2 linked regions of the Elephas maximus indicus genome follow. The protein of the gene in region 1 binds, or shares a complex with, the protein of each later gene. Links are inferred from orthologs where the notes say so. Each region holds a gene or a part of one and is shown on either strand. Other genes may lie near its edges.

Region 1 (7,275 bases):
AGGAAGCAGGTTGGTGTTCTGGAAGCACAGAGGGTGAAAGAGGGACAGAGGGGACTGACTGAGAAGGGGCAGAGGCAGGACCACAAAGGGTCTCAAACACCAGGCTGAGGGGTTGGGACTTTGTCCTGAGGGTACCAGGGAGCCATGGCAGTGCTGTGAGAAGGGGAGGGGGTAGGGTCAGCTCTGGGCATAGAAGACCCCTGAGGCTGGTAGGGAATGGATTGGACATGAGAGACTGGAGGCCAGTGAGGTGGCTGGGGTGAGGGTTCAAGTAAGAGAGGAGGAGGCCTGAGCTGCTGGGGCCATGAGGAAAGAGAAGTGAGATGCAGAGGCCAGGAGGGATGGGGCAGAGGATTGAGAAGAAGGTATGTGTTTGTACCCAGGGCCTGACCCGGTTAGTAGCTGGCAGTGCTTGAATCATTTATTTGTTCAGAAAAGGCCATTCACAGGCACATTCAGGGTAAAAGACAGGATCTAGGAGCAGGAGCCCGGGGACACTGTAGAGGGGCACGCAGCACCAACACTTGGGAAAGGGCAGGAGCGGATCCAATGGTGCCTTCACACTTCCTCTTTGCTCTCTCCTTGAACACACAGGAGGCACCCACATGCCAGGCCCTGTGCTGGGCTATGCTGGGACCCAGAGTGGAGTCAAACCCGGCCTGCCCTCAGTCTCATGAAGGAGATGGATACAACCACAGACATCTCAGCCCAGGGAGAGCGCAGCTTCCACACGGGCAAAGGGAGGCACAAGGGGCTCTGGGGGCCCAAAGGAGGGACCCCAAGGAACAAAAAGGTAGGAGGAAACCAGGAGAATCGGGTCCCAGCAGCCCAAGAGGAGGGTGTCTCTAAAAGCCTGGAGACAGCAATCCTGTCCAATGCTGCCAGAGATGTCATTAGGCCAAGGGGCAGCAGGGTGCAGATGTGAAAAGCATAGGCCCTAGAGCCAGACTTGCCTGGATTTAAATCCTGACTGCCTTAGCCCGGGTATCTGGCAAGTAACAGAGTCTCCCTAGCCTCAGTTCTCTCACCTGTATAATGGGATTAATAATATCCAGACGGAGTTCCTGAGTGGCGCAAATGGTTAATACACGTGGCTAACAGAAAGGATGGAGGTTAGAGTCTGCCCAGAGGCACCTCAGAAGAAAGGCCTGGCAATCTACTTCAGAAAATCGGCCATTGAAAACCCTACAGAGCACAGGTCTACTCTGACACACTTGCGGTTGCTAGGAGTCAGAGTTGACTTGACGGCAATGTTTTTGTTTGTTTGTTTGTTATATTGAGAAGTTAATCTCTACAGAGGACTGAGAACACTGCCTGGCACACAGTACCAAAACTAAACCTGTTGCCATCGGTCGGTTTCTACTCGTGGTGACCCCACGTGTTACAGAGCAGAACTGCTTCAGAAGGTTGAGGGTGGAATCTTTACAGAAGCAGGTGATCAGGCCTTTCTTCTGGAGCACCACTGGGTGAGTTCGAAGTGCCAACCTTTAGGCCAACGGTTGACTGCAAACCATTTGTGACACCCAGGTACCTAGTAAGGACCCTCTAAACATTAGCTGCTATGAGCACTGAAGTTTTCAGGCCTAGGTCTGTCTCCTGTCCCCTCCTTCCCAGCCCACTCCTCACATAAGTAGGGACAATATCAGCATCAACTTCGTGGCCACAGTCTTATCCATTCTGAGGCCTCGAAGATGCAGGCCCTGTGCTGAGAGAAGCTGAGGGCATGGAGGTGAGCTCCCAGTCTGATGGCGTAGAGACACAGACAAACAGTCACCGCTTTCAACCTGCTTTAGGTCAAGTATTGAGAGAAACTAGCGTGAGGGACTGTGTCTGATTCACCTCTGTCCACACACGCTTCCCTCTGGGGACAAGCCAGGTCTTCAGAGATGCTGCCCCCTATCCCTTCCATGAAGAAATTAAAAGGACATTGTGGTTCAGTGATAGCATTCTCGTCTTCCATGCAGGAGATCCGCGTTCGATTCCCAGCCAATGCACCTCAAGCACAGCCACCACCCATCTGTCAGTGAAACTTGTATGTTGCTACGATGCTGAACAGGTTTCAGCGGAGTTTCCGGAGGAAGACAGGGTAGGAAGAAAGATCTAGTGATCTACTTCCAAAAATCAACCATTGAAAATCTGATGGATCACAACAGTCCAATCTCACCGTACATAGGGTCTCCATGAGTCAGGGGCTGACTCAATAGCAGCTAACAACAACCAGCTCGGTCAGGTTGGCTGCAACTTCCTTGAATTGAATTTTCATCTCTAAAAAACACTTTTTTTTCCTCTCTCTTTCTAGCTCAAGCCTTCTCACTCACCCTGTGGCTGCGTCGGGTAAAGATACCCTCTGGATTCTCACAGGGCCCTGTATGACCTCCATTAGAGAGCACTTTGGGGACCGAAATAGTAAATTTTGTAGGGAATGCAGCCTAGTGGGTTAATGCTTGGCTTGTGTGCAAAGCACGAGTTGGGGTGAGGAGTCAGAGTGAACTGGATTGGAATCTGGCCTGTACTTGTCCCTAGGTAAGTGACCTCTCTGTGCCTCAGTTTCTCCTTGTTAAACATGGACGATGACTCCCCACCAGACAATATGGAAGGCAACTTGCCCTGTATACAGTTATAAATCGTTGGAGAACTGGGGAAACCGGGGGATAGGGGGAGGAAGGGGGAAACGGGGTCATGATCTCAGAGAGGCCCGGGTCTGCGTGAAGAGGGATCGATGTCAGAACCTCACAGTCCTTGACCTTTGCCCCCAGATAAGACTGACGTGTGGGGGAAGAGCGGCAGAGGTCAAAGGTTACGAGAAGACCCCGAGAGAGTGTGCAATCGCGATCCCAGACGCACACGGCGGCGGGGCTCAGGGAGGTGGGAGAGGGGGCCCGGTCACCTTCACGGCGAAGTCGATGACCCTCTTGACACCCACGAGCGCGCGCAGCTCCGCCATCTTCCAGTATCACCGCCGCTGGCTGGAACAGTTCGAAACCTCAGTCAAAGCTCCGAAGCCCCGGCCCCGTCCCATTCTACGCTTGCGCACCGCTTCGCCAGCCAATCAACTGCCGTGGGGCCCTCCACCCCCCACTGAGGACCAATCAGAAGGCTAGAAGAGGAGGGCGTGGATGCGGACCAATAGGACGCGGACCCAAAGGAAAGAGCTTTGTGAAGGGGGCGAGGCCGGGAACTAGGTGAAAGTCGTGTCTGCGAGCGCAGCACTTCAGGACTGGGAATTCTCTCCGTCGTCCTAGACTCTTCCTAATGTTACTGGATCTCCCTTATCCCCCCACCCCCAGTTTTTCTCCTTCTTTCTTGCTCCCCGCGTCGCCATATCCGTGTCCCCACGCCCACCCAGTGCCGGCGTTCCCATGCCATCTCGTGTCTGTATCTTCAGGCCTCCATGTCCCCCCTGCCCGTATCTACCCATCCCTCCATGCACATGCCTTTATGTCCCATCATATCCGCGTCTCCCCGAACTTCGTGTCCCCACAGCCTCCCCATATGCCCGTGTCCCCTTACGACCCCAAGTGTCCCCTTTCCCCTCCAAACCCATGCCCCTTGCCCACTGTGTTCCTGCCTCCACGTCCGTGTTCCCCCGTGTCTCCACGTTCCCTCTGTACTCATGTTCTCAGGTCCTGCGTCCCCCCACTTTCATGTCCCCCGTGTCCGTGTCCCCACGTCCCCAGAAAGACGCGCGGAGCCGCTACGGCGGGAGCTGTAACTTTATTCTGCCCCAGGCAGGCCGCGGTCACAGGCACACAGGGAATCCACTGATGGCGTCGGTGCTCTGAACGATCATGTCCGCCAGCAGAAAGCAGAAGCCTGGCCGGAGGGGAGCAGAGGAAGGTGGGCCCCGGGGCCTGGGGTTTTGGGGCTCTGAGGGCATCTCTGGAGGGTCTGGGGGAATCGAGGGTGGAATGTCTTGGGGTCGGGGTCGGGGGCGGGTCCAGGTAAATAGCTGTGGGATTTTCTGGGAGGACGGCAAGGGAGTCTCTGGATGGGTGGGTGGTTGGGTGAAGGGTCCTTTGGGCAGTCTCCTCTACCCCACCGTCCCGGTTACCCGCGAGAATAGAAAAGGGTAAAGCCAGCCACCCCGAAAAATAGGACCAGGAGAAGAAGACGTCCGACTTCCACACATCCTTCACCGTGTAGCCTGTCATTGCGATCAGCAGCAGCAACCCTGGCCACCACACCCCGGGAGAGGTTGCACTGAAGCCACGCCCCAGACCTCCGCTCCGTTCCAGTCTCCGCCCTCTTCTGACCCGCCCCTCCTCCTGGCCTTCTGGCCGAACCTGCTCCTCCCTAGCCCTGCCCATCGTTCCAAGCCCCGACCCCTAGACTTCAGAGCCGACACCTCTCCTCCCCGCCACACCCCTGGCCCTGCCCCCTTCCACATCCTCCCCTCTGAACCCAGCCCGTAAGTCATCTCGGGTCCCGTCCCATTTTCTCGGGCTTCAGCCCCTCCCCTCGGCTCCCAGCCCAGCTCCTGATACCCCCCCACCTCGGCCCTGTCCCCACTTTCCCCAGGCCCACCCTCGGCTGCAGTCTCACCGCTGAGGAAGAAGATGGCGCTCGTCGTCTGGCCGCGCAGCGAGTCGCCCTGGTGGCACAAAATGCGCAGCCCCATGGCCATGCTCACGAAGCCAGAACCCGCAGCCAGCACCATGCACGCGCCTGTCATCGCCAGCATGGCTAGGAAGAGGGGGCCGCATCAGTGTGCCGGCACCTCCCCAGTCGCGACAGCCACACACCCCTACCCACCAGTCAGTCTTGGGCTGGGAGCCCCGCTCTGCCAACCTGGAGTCAGGCATCTGAATGGAGACCTGAAGGTTATCTCATGACCGGCGGTTAATGTCGCGACAGGTAGTTAATGTGATAGGGAAACAAGTTCAGAAGTTGGGGAGGGTGGTTCGTGGTGGCCTCAATTATGGAGGGGCAGCTGGGTCTGAGGTTGGGTTGGAAGGGGTGGTGGTGGTGGGGTTTCTCATGACATGTCCAGCTGTTGTGCCCGGAGGGGTGTGTCACGAGAGGACGCCTGCAGTGGTCTGCGTTGGGTACTGTATGTCTGGGGGAGGGGGAGGGTCGGACGCCTGGTCTGACGCCTGCGCGGGCGGGGCCTCACTCTGGCATGGGATGGTGGAACAGCCGCCGCTATTACACTCCTTCCACAAGCCGCTGTGGCCGTCGGGGTAGCGGGTCCAGTAGTTGGTGACAGTGGAGAGCACCATGAGGATGTTGGCTAAGAAGCTGAGCACGGTACCTCCGCTCTGAAGACTCCGCTTCACCCCCATGCCAGGGAGGCTGCTGCCAGGGGGCCACATAGGTCGCATTGGCCAACACCCCTCCTGCTCTAGGCCCTGGCTTCAGGACCTCCTGTCTCCCCGGCCATCTCCCCCAGTGTCTTCCTTCCCCCGACACACCTTTCATCCCCCCAAACTCCTCCCCCAGCATCCCTGCTTGGGGACCTGGAGACTCCTTCCCTCAAGCCTTTTTGTCCTCCTAACTGGGAAACCCTAAGGCTCCTAAGGAAACCCTGGTGGTGTAGTGGTTAAGTGCTACGGCTGCTAACCAAAGGGTCGGCAGTTCAAATCCGCCAGGCACTCCTTGGAAACTCTATGGGGCAGTTCTACTCTGCCCTATAGGGTCCCTATGAGTCGGAATCCACGCGACGGCACGGGCTTCTACTGGCACTGGCAAGGCTCCCTGCCTGGAACTAGGGGCGGGTTACCCAATAAACAAGGTAAACACTGGCTTATTTGTGCCTATTTACTAATCTGTAGTTAACAATTTAACATGTTTGTTTTTTTTTTTTAAAAAAGCCAAACCCGTGGCCGTCCAGTCCATTCCAATTGACAGCAACCCTATAGGACAGAGTAGAACTGTCCCATAGAGTTTCCAAGGAGCACCTGGTGGATTCGCACTGCCCACCTTTTGATTAGCAGCCCTAGCTCTTAACCACTACACCACCAGATTTTCCTACGGATTAGTAAATAAGCACAGGTAAGCCTGTGTTCACCTTGCTTACTGGATAATGTGTCCCTGTCAGGGATTATAAATTTTAAAAAAGGCTTTGATTCTGTAGGAGGGTGCTGTGGAGTTGAGAGAGAGACAGATACCAGCCATACCTAGAAGCAGAATCTTTGATGTGGTGAAAAAATATGACACTGATTACTACAGATGATCTGATAAGCAAGGTAAACACTGGCTTACTTTGCCTATTGAATAATCCGCCCCTACCTGAATTCTTATTCCTGGCGACCCTGGCGCCTCTGCCTCAGGTCCTCTCATGTGCCAGACCCCTCCCTGCAACCCTTTCTGGGGACCAGAGACTCCCTTCCCCCAAGACTACCTTCTCTTAGGCTTTCTGCTTAGGAAACTACTTAGGTCCCATAGACCTCCCCCAGTGGGATCCCCATTCAGGCCCTCCAGCACCCCATCCCCCACACACACCCCACCCACCTAAGTGACTAAGACTCGGTTCCCCAGGGTTTCTTAGACACCAAGCCCAGAGGGGTGGGGGGAGGGAGACTGGCTCTCTGTGAGGCAGCAGGAGTTCCAGAACCTTTGTCCCCAGCAGCCATTTAAAGGGATAAAGTTTCCCTCCCTCTGTCCTAGCAGCCTGAGGGGCATGCCATGGTAGATCATTTCCTTCTTCTAGAAACTTCTCTGTCTTTGACTTTGGAGGCACCACACAAACTCTCCTGGTCTGTGGCCTCGAAGTTCCTTCATACATGCTCCTCCTCCCCTCCACTTCTAAATACTCCTGTTCCTTGAGGCTCCATCCTGCACCTTCTTACCAGGTGAGCTTACTCACTCCTGCAGTTTCAGGAACCATTTATGTTCTGACAGCAACTAAAACCGCATCTCCAGCCATTTGTCCTGTCTGTCTGGATTACTGGAGTCTCTGGGTCGTGCAACAGTTAATGTGCTGGGTAACTGAAAAGTTGGAGGTTCAAGTCCATCCAGATGTGCCTCAGAAGAAAGACCTGGAGATCTCACTCCTGAGCCCTAGACTCCAGCCTCATCTGCTCCTGGCTCTCTCAGACCCCTCAAGCTCAACCACAACCTAAGTGAACTCAGCATCTTCTACCAAACTGGGATGGCCCCGCCCTTCCACCCACTTCATTGGGCTACACCCACTATTCTTGCCCTCTCCCTGCCCTTCACTCCACGAAGCCCTTGGACCTGTTCCTCCTGCCCCTGCATCTGCCTGGTTCATTCTCTCCTTTCCATCACATGCCCTGGTCCCCAGGTGGGCCTCATTCTACTCCACACATTGTATTG
Region 2 (6,862 bases), on another chromosome or scaffold:
CACGGGGTCGCCATGAGTTGGAATCAACTCAATGGCAACTGATATTCTGACTATTTCGACTTTATGACATCATAAATATATAAAGCAGGAGCCAAATTGAAAGAGCTCCCACTTTACAAATACGGGACAATTTGAGCATGGAGGATAACCTACTAAACAAAATAAGGATCTATGAATGAATGAATAACAGAGAGAAGGGGATATTCTTCTTTATAGTACAATGCTAATTAATAAATGTAGAAAGAAAAATGGGGTTAGAAAGTCGCCATCTTACGGCCATCATAGTAATGATTTCTCAGGCAAGAATGATCAACTGATGCTAACACTAGTGGGTGAAAGTATGATAAGAAACAGGATAGCTACATGTTGTAGTGCGCCATCGAGTTGATTCCAACTCATAGCAACCCTGTAGGACAGAGTAGAACTGTCCCATAGGGTTTCCTAGGCTGAAATCTTTACAGGAGCAGATTGAAAGGTCTTTTCTCCAACACAGCCACTGGTAGGTGGGTTTGAACTGCCGACTTTTCAGTTAGCAGCTGAGTGCTTAACCATTGTGGCACCACGGCTCCGATAGTTACGTAGTTTCAGGATAAACCAGTTGCTATCCAGTAGTCCAGGCCATCCCAACTTACAGCAACCCCATGGTGTCAGAGTAGAACTGTGCTCCTCAGGGTTTTCAACGGCTGGTTTTTCTGAAGTAGACTGCCAGGGCTTTCTTCCGAGGCACCTCTGGGTGGACACAAACCGCCAACCTTAGCAGTCTAGTACATTTACCATTTGTACCACCCAAGGATTGCCTACAAATTACTTAAAAGTAACAAAGGAAGAATACTAACTTTACAGTGGTGAAACCTGGTGAACTCCACTTTAGTCAAGTGACTAAAGTTAACTTCACCAAAGATAGGATAAACCCAACATATTGTGCCTCCTAACATGATGCATTGAGAGCATAACATCACTTCTGTGATAGTCCTGCCAAAAATACATAACCTGAATCTAATCAGAAGGAACATAAGACAAACCCATATTGAGACAATGGACATAATTTTTAAATGACTGTAGATTAGATAATATTGTATCATTGTTAAACACTTCCTGATGTTGATCATTAAATTGTAGTAAATGAACCTCCTTGTTCTTACAAAATACATACTAAAAAATTTTGGGGAGTAAAGGGGCACGTCTGTAACATACCCTCAAATGGTTCAGAAAAAAAATGTATACATGTATAAAGCAAATGTGTCACACTGTTAACTGGTGAAACCCTATGAAGAGTTTTAAGAAGTCTTTGTACTATTCTTGCAACTTTTCTGTAAGTTTGAAACTATATCAAAACAAAAAAGCTAAATATGTGTATGTGTATTTGTGTGTCCTGTTTTGGAAACGTTCTCGTCATTCTTCATACACTTATCCAAATCATTCATCAGTACTTAATGACTTTACAGCAGCCACCTTAGCCTGACTTCAAATTTTAAAAATAAGTCAAGGTCAAAGTCTTTAGAAAACAACAATAAAAATGTGGAAATACTATCTATGCATATTGGGAAACTGTGTACATAATAAGATAATTACATAAACTAATGATTCCATTTATTCTGTTAGCTCTACAAGATCACTGAGTCCTAAATTCTCTCCACCAAAAGTATCAGTTCACATATACCAGACTTCCAACCTGTCCACAAAACCACCTTCCAATTACTGCTTCCAAGAGTCTATGATTCCTGGAATTTTCCCAAATCCACGACTTTAACTTGTTTATGTTTATATCCTCTGAGGGGAAAAAAAAAAAAATCCCCTCAGGGAAAGAGAGGACACTAACCTGAAGGATGTAAGTTTGAACTTTTTAGAAGAAAGGGAGTTAGGATCTTTTTAAGGAGCAAAGATTAACTACTAGAAAAGAGTTTACAGACATCTAGAAAGATCACTAGCTATGTCTCAGGGAAAATATGCTCCCCTTCCCCGAACCCTCCAAAAAATAAAAAACATCAGGGAAGTTTCTGACCTAAGTTTAGCCATCTAGTTTCTCATTTAACCTAAGCGTCAATGAGAAACTCTACAGAATCCACAATATAAACTATTGTTACTTGTAATTGGTCAATCTCCAATACTGTCCTCTCGTAAGATAAGGACAAAAATATATTTTCTCTCAGCCCCTCTCACAGAATGCAGGGAGAAATGTTCACTATTCAAAGCACCCAAAACCTACCACTACCAAGTTCCCTGGCTGTTTAACCAACAATCTACTAGTTTAAAAGCAGGTCAGCCTGCAGTACAAAAAGGACGCTCCCCCTTTCAAAATTGGCTAAAGCCGTTGAAGTGGATTATTGGTTTTGCACATCCAATCACCCAAAACCAGCCCTGCCCCACTGGCCGGAGCGCGCGTCCACGCCCCCTCCCCCCGCACCTGACCCAGCAGCCACAATGCGCCCAGTGGAGACATTTTAATTCTTCCAGACGTGTCAGCTTCCAGGCCGAGTCCAGGCTTTAAACTCTCCCAGGAGGGCCTCCCCGCAGCGACGTTTTGTTCCTTCGGGGAAAGATTTTCTAGGGGCATCGCTGCCCGCACCCCGCCGAGCGTGGAGCACCCAGGACGCCTGGCAGAAGGGAGAGAGACCTAAGGGTGGAAAGGGGGACTGGGGAGAGGGCGGGACGGAAGGAGGAGGGGCAGCAGGAGCGCAAGTTCACTACTCGGGGTCACCCTGACCCCCGACCTCTGACCTGTGCCCGAGCTAGCGGCCCCTAAGGATCAGGGGCCAGCCCCAGTCCCAGAGCCTTGGGCCTCGGCACCGAGCTCCAGGTCAGGATAGGCCTGCCTGCCACAGGGCCAGTCGGGCCTGTCGGAGCCGGTGACCTTCTCCAAGACCCTCACTGGGACGACAGGTTTTGGTGGGATCGTCACCGAGCTCGGCCTCCACGACTGCACTCACCGCCCGCCGGAGCTGCCCAGGAGCTGCCGCTCGGAACATGGTGTCTGCGACCGTCCTCCCCGCCGCAGCCTCGGCCTCACGGCAGCCCCCCGCCTGGCAGCCACAGCACCGCCGCCGCCGCCAGTCACTCCAAGTCTCGCGAGACGAGCGATTGCGAGCGAGCGCCCATTGGGCGGTGCGCAGCCAATGGGGACGGCGGAAAGGTGGGGCGGGACTCGGGAGTAGGGTAAAGGTGAGGCCGTTGGCTGGGAGGCTCTGCGAGGCGGCTGAACGGCGGAGGGAAGCCGGCGCGGTCTGCCTCGCAGCCCCACTGTGGGCAGCCTTGTTCCAGCGAACTTTACTACTGAACTGATGATGTTACTCTCCTGGGTTCCCAGGCCTCAGGATGAAGTCCACCCCACTCACTCTATTCATTCATTCTCTCATTCATTTATTCACAGTTATCGACTCTGTGGCTGTAATGTGCTAAGCAGTTTTCTAGGTGGTGGTGGTGGTAGTGCCGTCGAGTGGGTTCTGACCCGCAGCGACCCTATATGCAACAGAACAAAACACTGCACAGTCCTGCGTCATCCTCATGATCGTTGTTATACTGGAGCCCATTGTTGCAACCACCTGTGTCAATCCATGGGTCTCCCTCTTTTTCGCTGACCTCTCCCAAGCATGGTGTCCTTCTCCAGGGACATCTAGGTGAGAGGAATATAATAAAAGGATGCATAAGGTGTTGTCCTGCCCTTGGGGACTTCACAGACTCTGGAGGAAAAATACAAATAAGTATATAATTTCTATTATGTGAGGAAGAGGAGTAAGAAAAAGAGATGAGGGTTCACAGAGTTGGTGATATTTGAGCTGGATTCTGGAACAAGGAACTGCGTGCGTAGTCAAAAAGAGGGGAGGACCATGAAATGACTAAGGAGTTGGGAACCCAACTTGAGCATAAGTTGTATCCACTTCAGACATGTTGGCGCTCGTGTGGTGGTCGAGGGCTTTGGGACCCACCAGTAAATCTGTATGTGGGATACCGGGAGGGGCAATTCAGTATTATGTTTATCACTGCATTTGCCTCCCAACCCAGCTCCCCACTGAACTCAAATTTGAGTCCTATAAGTGCAAGGAAGAAGAAAGAGTACTTTAAGTAAAAACTGAAAGGGATATTTTACTAAAAAACATGCTAAAAATTGGGATACAAGCTAACCTCCTTCCCTGCCCCCACACCTATGACAAAGCAAAACACGAAAGGGGAGAGAAGCTCCCCCACCCACGCTGGGCAGCTTTGGCACCCCAGAGGTTCCAGTGAATCAGCAGCAGCTGTGGCCAGCAGAGGCCCGTTGCCCATAGGACATGGTGGTTTCTAGCAGAACAGGGCCAGGGTAGACAAAGAGCCCAAAAATTGGAAAGCCTGTGACAACTGACCAGATCTGTTTCTTGGGCACACAAGAGATGCACCCCAGGGATGTTACAAGTGGGGAAAGTGCCAGAGAAGTGCAGACTACAACATTGCTATTATTTTCCCTGTACGTATTTTGTGATCTGTCTCTACCTCTCAGGTACTAGCTGCTTCGTGGCAGGAACCCTGGTGTTAAATATCTGGTTTATGTTTGTGGATGTTCAGTGAGTGAGTGTGAAACTTTGATGAAATTGGAAAGGAAGGAAGAGAGGGTGGGAGGAAGTAGTCACCCCTTGAAGACTGACTTCAGCCTATTTGGAAAAACACCTCACTGTCCTCTTTTGTCTTTACAGGCCAGTTTCAGGAGCAGCTCCCAGGATTCTGGCAGGCCTCTCTTTCTAGTGGAAACTTAGAAGAGGAAGGGTTAGTGGAATAAACTATAACCCCCAGGCTGCTGCAACTACTGATACTCATTGTCTCCTTCCTCCTTATCTGTTGCCATTGAGTGGATTCTGACTCATGGCAACCACATGTGTGTCGGAGTAGAACTGTGCTCCATAGGGTTTTCCATGGCTGATTTTTCAGAAGTAGATTGCCAGGCTTTCTTTCCGAGGTGTCTGTGGGTGAATTCGAACTGCCAAGAGCATGTTAACCATTTGTACCACCCAGGGACTCCTCCTTTCTCCTTATCTATTCTAAATTCTCCTCAGCCTCAGCCGGCAGCTCTGATGACCACAGTGGCCAACCCGTTGCCACATAAACCAAAATACACTACAGTAAATCCACCAGCAAATCTTGTTGAATTAAAAAAAAAAAAAAATCCTGTTGGCTCTACCTCCAAAAATACCTCAAATTTGACCTCCTCTTGCCACTTTTTGCTGCTTCAACCCTAGTCCAAGATGCCATCATCTCTCGCGGGAATTATTGCAACAGCCTCTTAGCTGGTATCTTAGCTTCCACATTTGTCTCTACAGTCTATGCGCCTCAGAGCAACCAGTGATGTTCTGAATACATAAATCATACCTCATCATTTCCTGCTCAAAACCCCCTCGTTACGTTGGGAAAAAAGAAAGTCAAAGCTCTTGGCATGGCTTCAAAGCTCACCTTGCTCTGGCCCCTGCCTAGCACTCCAATTCATTTCCTCTTTCCTTCCTTTTTCTTCAACTCCTGTTGTTGTTGTTGGTTCTCACTGTGTTACAGAGTAGAACTGCTCCATAGGGTTTTCTTGGCTATAATCTTTTTTTTTTTTTTTTTTGTCCTTTAGAAGAAGGTTTACAGAACAAACTAGTTTCTCATTAAACAGTTAGTACACATATTGTTTTATGACGTTGGTTAATAATCCCATGACATGTCGACACTTTCCCTTCTCAATCCTGGGCTCCCTACTACCAGCTTTCCTGTCCTCTCCTGCCTTCTAGTCCTTGCCCCAAGGCTGGCTTGCCCCTTTAGTCTCGTTTTGTTCCATGGGCCTGTCCAGTCTTTGGCTGAAGGGTGAACCTCAGGAGTGACTTCATTGCTGAGCTGAAAGGGTGTCCAGTGGCCATATTCTCAGGGTTTCTCCAGTCTCTGTCAGGCCAGCAAGTCTGGACTTTCTTTTTGAGTTACAATCTTTTCCTACATTTTTCTCCAGCTCTGTCTGGGACCCTCTATTGTGATCCCTGTCAGAGCAGTCAGTGGTGGTAGCTGAGCACCATCTAGTTGTACTGGACTCAGTCTGGTCGAAGCCATGGTAGTCGTGGCCCATTAATCCTTTGGACTAACCTTTCCCTTGTATCTTTAGTTTTCTTCATTCTTACTTGCTCCCAAAGGGGCGAGACCAGTGGAGTATCCTAGATGGCCACTCACAGGATTTTAAGACCCCAGATGCTACTCACCAAAGTCGAATGTAGAACATTTCTTGGCTATAATCTTAACAGAAGCAGATCATCTCCAGGTCTTTCTTCCATAGTGCTGTTGGGTGGGTTCAAACTCCCAATCTTTAGCTTAGACATTGAGCACAAACTGTTTGTGCCACCTAGGGGCCTTCCGTGTCCTACTAGTCCTCAAATATAGAAGCCTGATCTTGCCTCAGGGCCTTTGCACTTGCTGTTCCCACTATGTGGAAAGCTTTTCCACCAGATCCTCTATATGGTTTGCTCCTAGTCTTCAGTCAGGTCTCAGCTCAAATACCACCACCTCGTAGAAGCTTTCCCCTACCACCACAGCTATCCCCTTCCTCCTTTTTCCATCCCCTTACCCTGTTTTATTTTTCAGAGCAGGGACTTTGTACTGTTCACTATTGTATCCCTGCTACCTAGAACAATGTCTGGTCCATATCAGAACTCTGTATGTACTTTGTGAATGAATAAATGAATGAATGCATGGATGGATGAACATATTTGCCTATGTATGCAGACTTCACAGGGCCCTTGGCCTGCACTGATCTCTCCCTCCTCCTCATCCCTCTGGTCTTTGCCGTTTGTGTCACAATACAAACATTTCATTGTATCCCAGGGGCCAGCTTGAGTCTTAGGTTGTTATTCACTTTATTTTATTGTTTGACATTTAACAT

Evidence for each region.
Region 2: the proteins of ETFB (region 1) and ETFA are in contact, whole or in part, in a crystal structure (PDB 2A1U), measured with the Homo sapiens proteins. The link is inferred for Elephas maximus indicus from reciprocal best matches to the Homo sapiens genes ETFB and ETFA. Residues at the interface, in NP_001976.1 of Homo sapiens: Ile14, Tyr16, Val18, Ile20, Val22, Val29, Thr31, Phe41, Leu102, Arg106, Lys124, Gln125, Ile127, Asp128, Asp129, Asp130, Cys131, Asn132, Gln133, Gln136, Met137, Ala139, Gly140, Phe141, Asp143, Trp144, Pro145, Gln146, Thr148, Phe149; in NP_000117.1 of Homo sapiens: Glu27, Leu88, Pro89, Glu90, Ser113, Ala114, Phe115, Lys117, Asn118, Pro121, Arg122, Ala124, Ala125, Lys126, Glu128, Val129, Ala130, Pro131, Ile132, Ser133, Arg146, Thr147, Ile148, Tyr149, Ala150, Gly151, Asn152, Ala153, Leu154, Cys155.

The regions. Positions count from the first base shown.
Region 1 is NC_064829.1:96,868,829-96,876,103, reverse strand, and holds the start of ETFB (electron transfer flavoprotein subunit beta), read right to left. Parts: upstream 3,005-7,275; 5' UTR 2,945-3,004; coding exon 2,888-2,944; intron 1-2,887. UniProt on the Homo sapiens protein: Heterodimeric electron transfer flavoprotein that accepts electrons from several mitochondrial dehydrogenases, including acyl-CoA dehydrogenases, glutaryl-CoA and sarcosine dehydrogenase.
Region 2 is NC_064831.1:67,197,087-67,203,948, reverse strand, and holds the start of ETFA (electron transfer flavoprotein subunit alpha, mitochondrial), read right to left. Parts: upstream 3,013-6,862; 5' UTR 2,967-3,012; coding exon of another isoform or gene 2,928-2,966; intron 2,595-2,927; 5' UTR 2,555-2,594; coding exon 2,405-2,554; intron 1-2,404. UniProt on the Homo sapiens protein: Heterodimeric electron transfer flavoprotein that accepts electrons from several mitochondrial dehydrogenases, including acyl-CoA dehydrogenases, glutaryl-CoA and sarcosine dehydrogenase.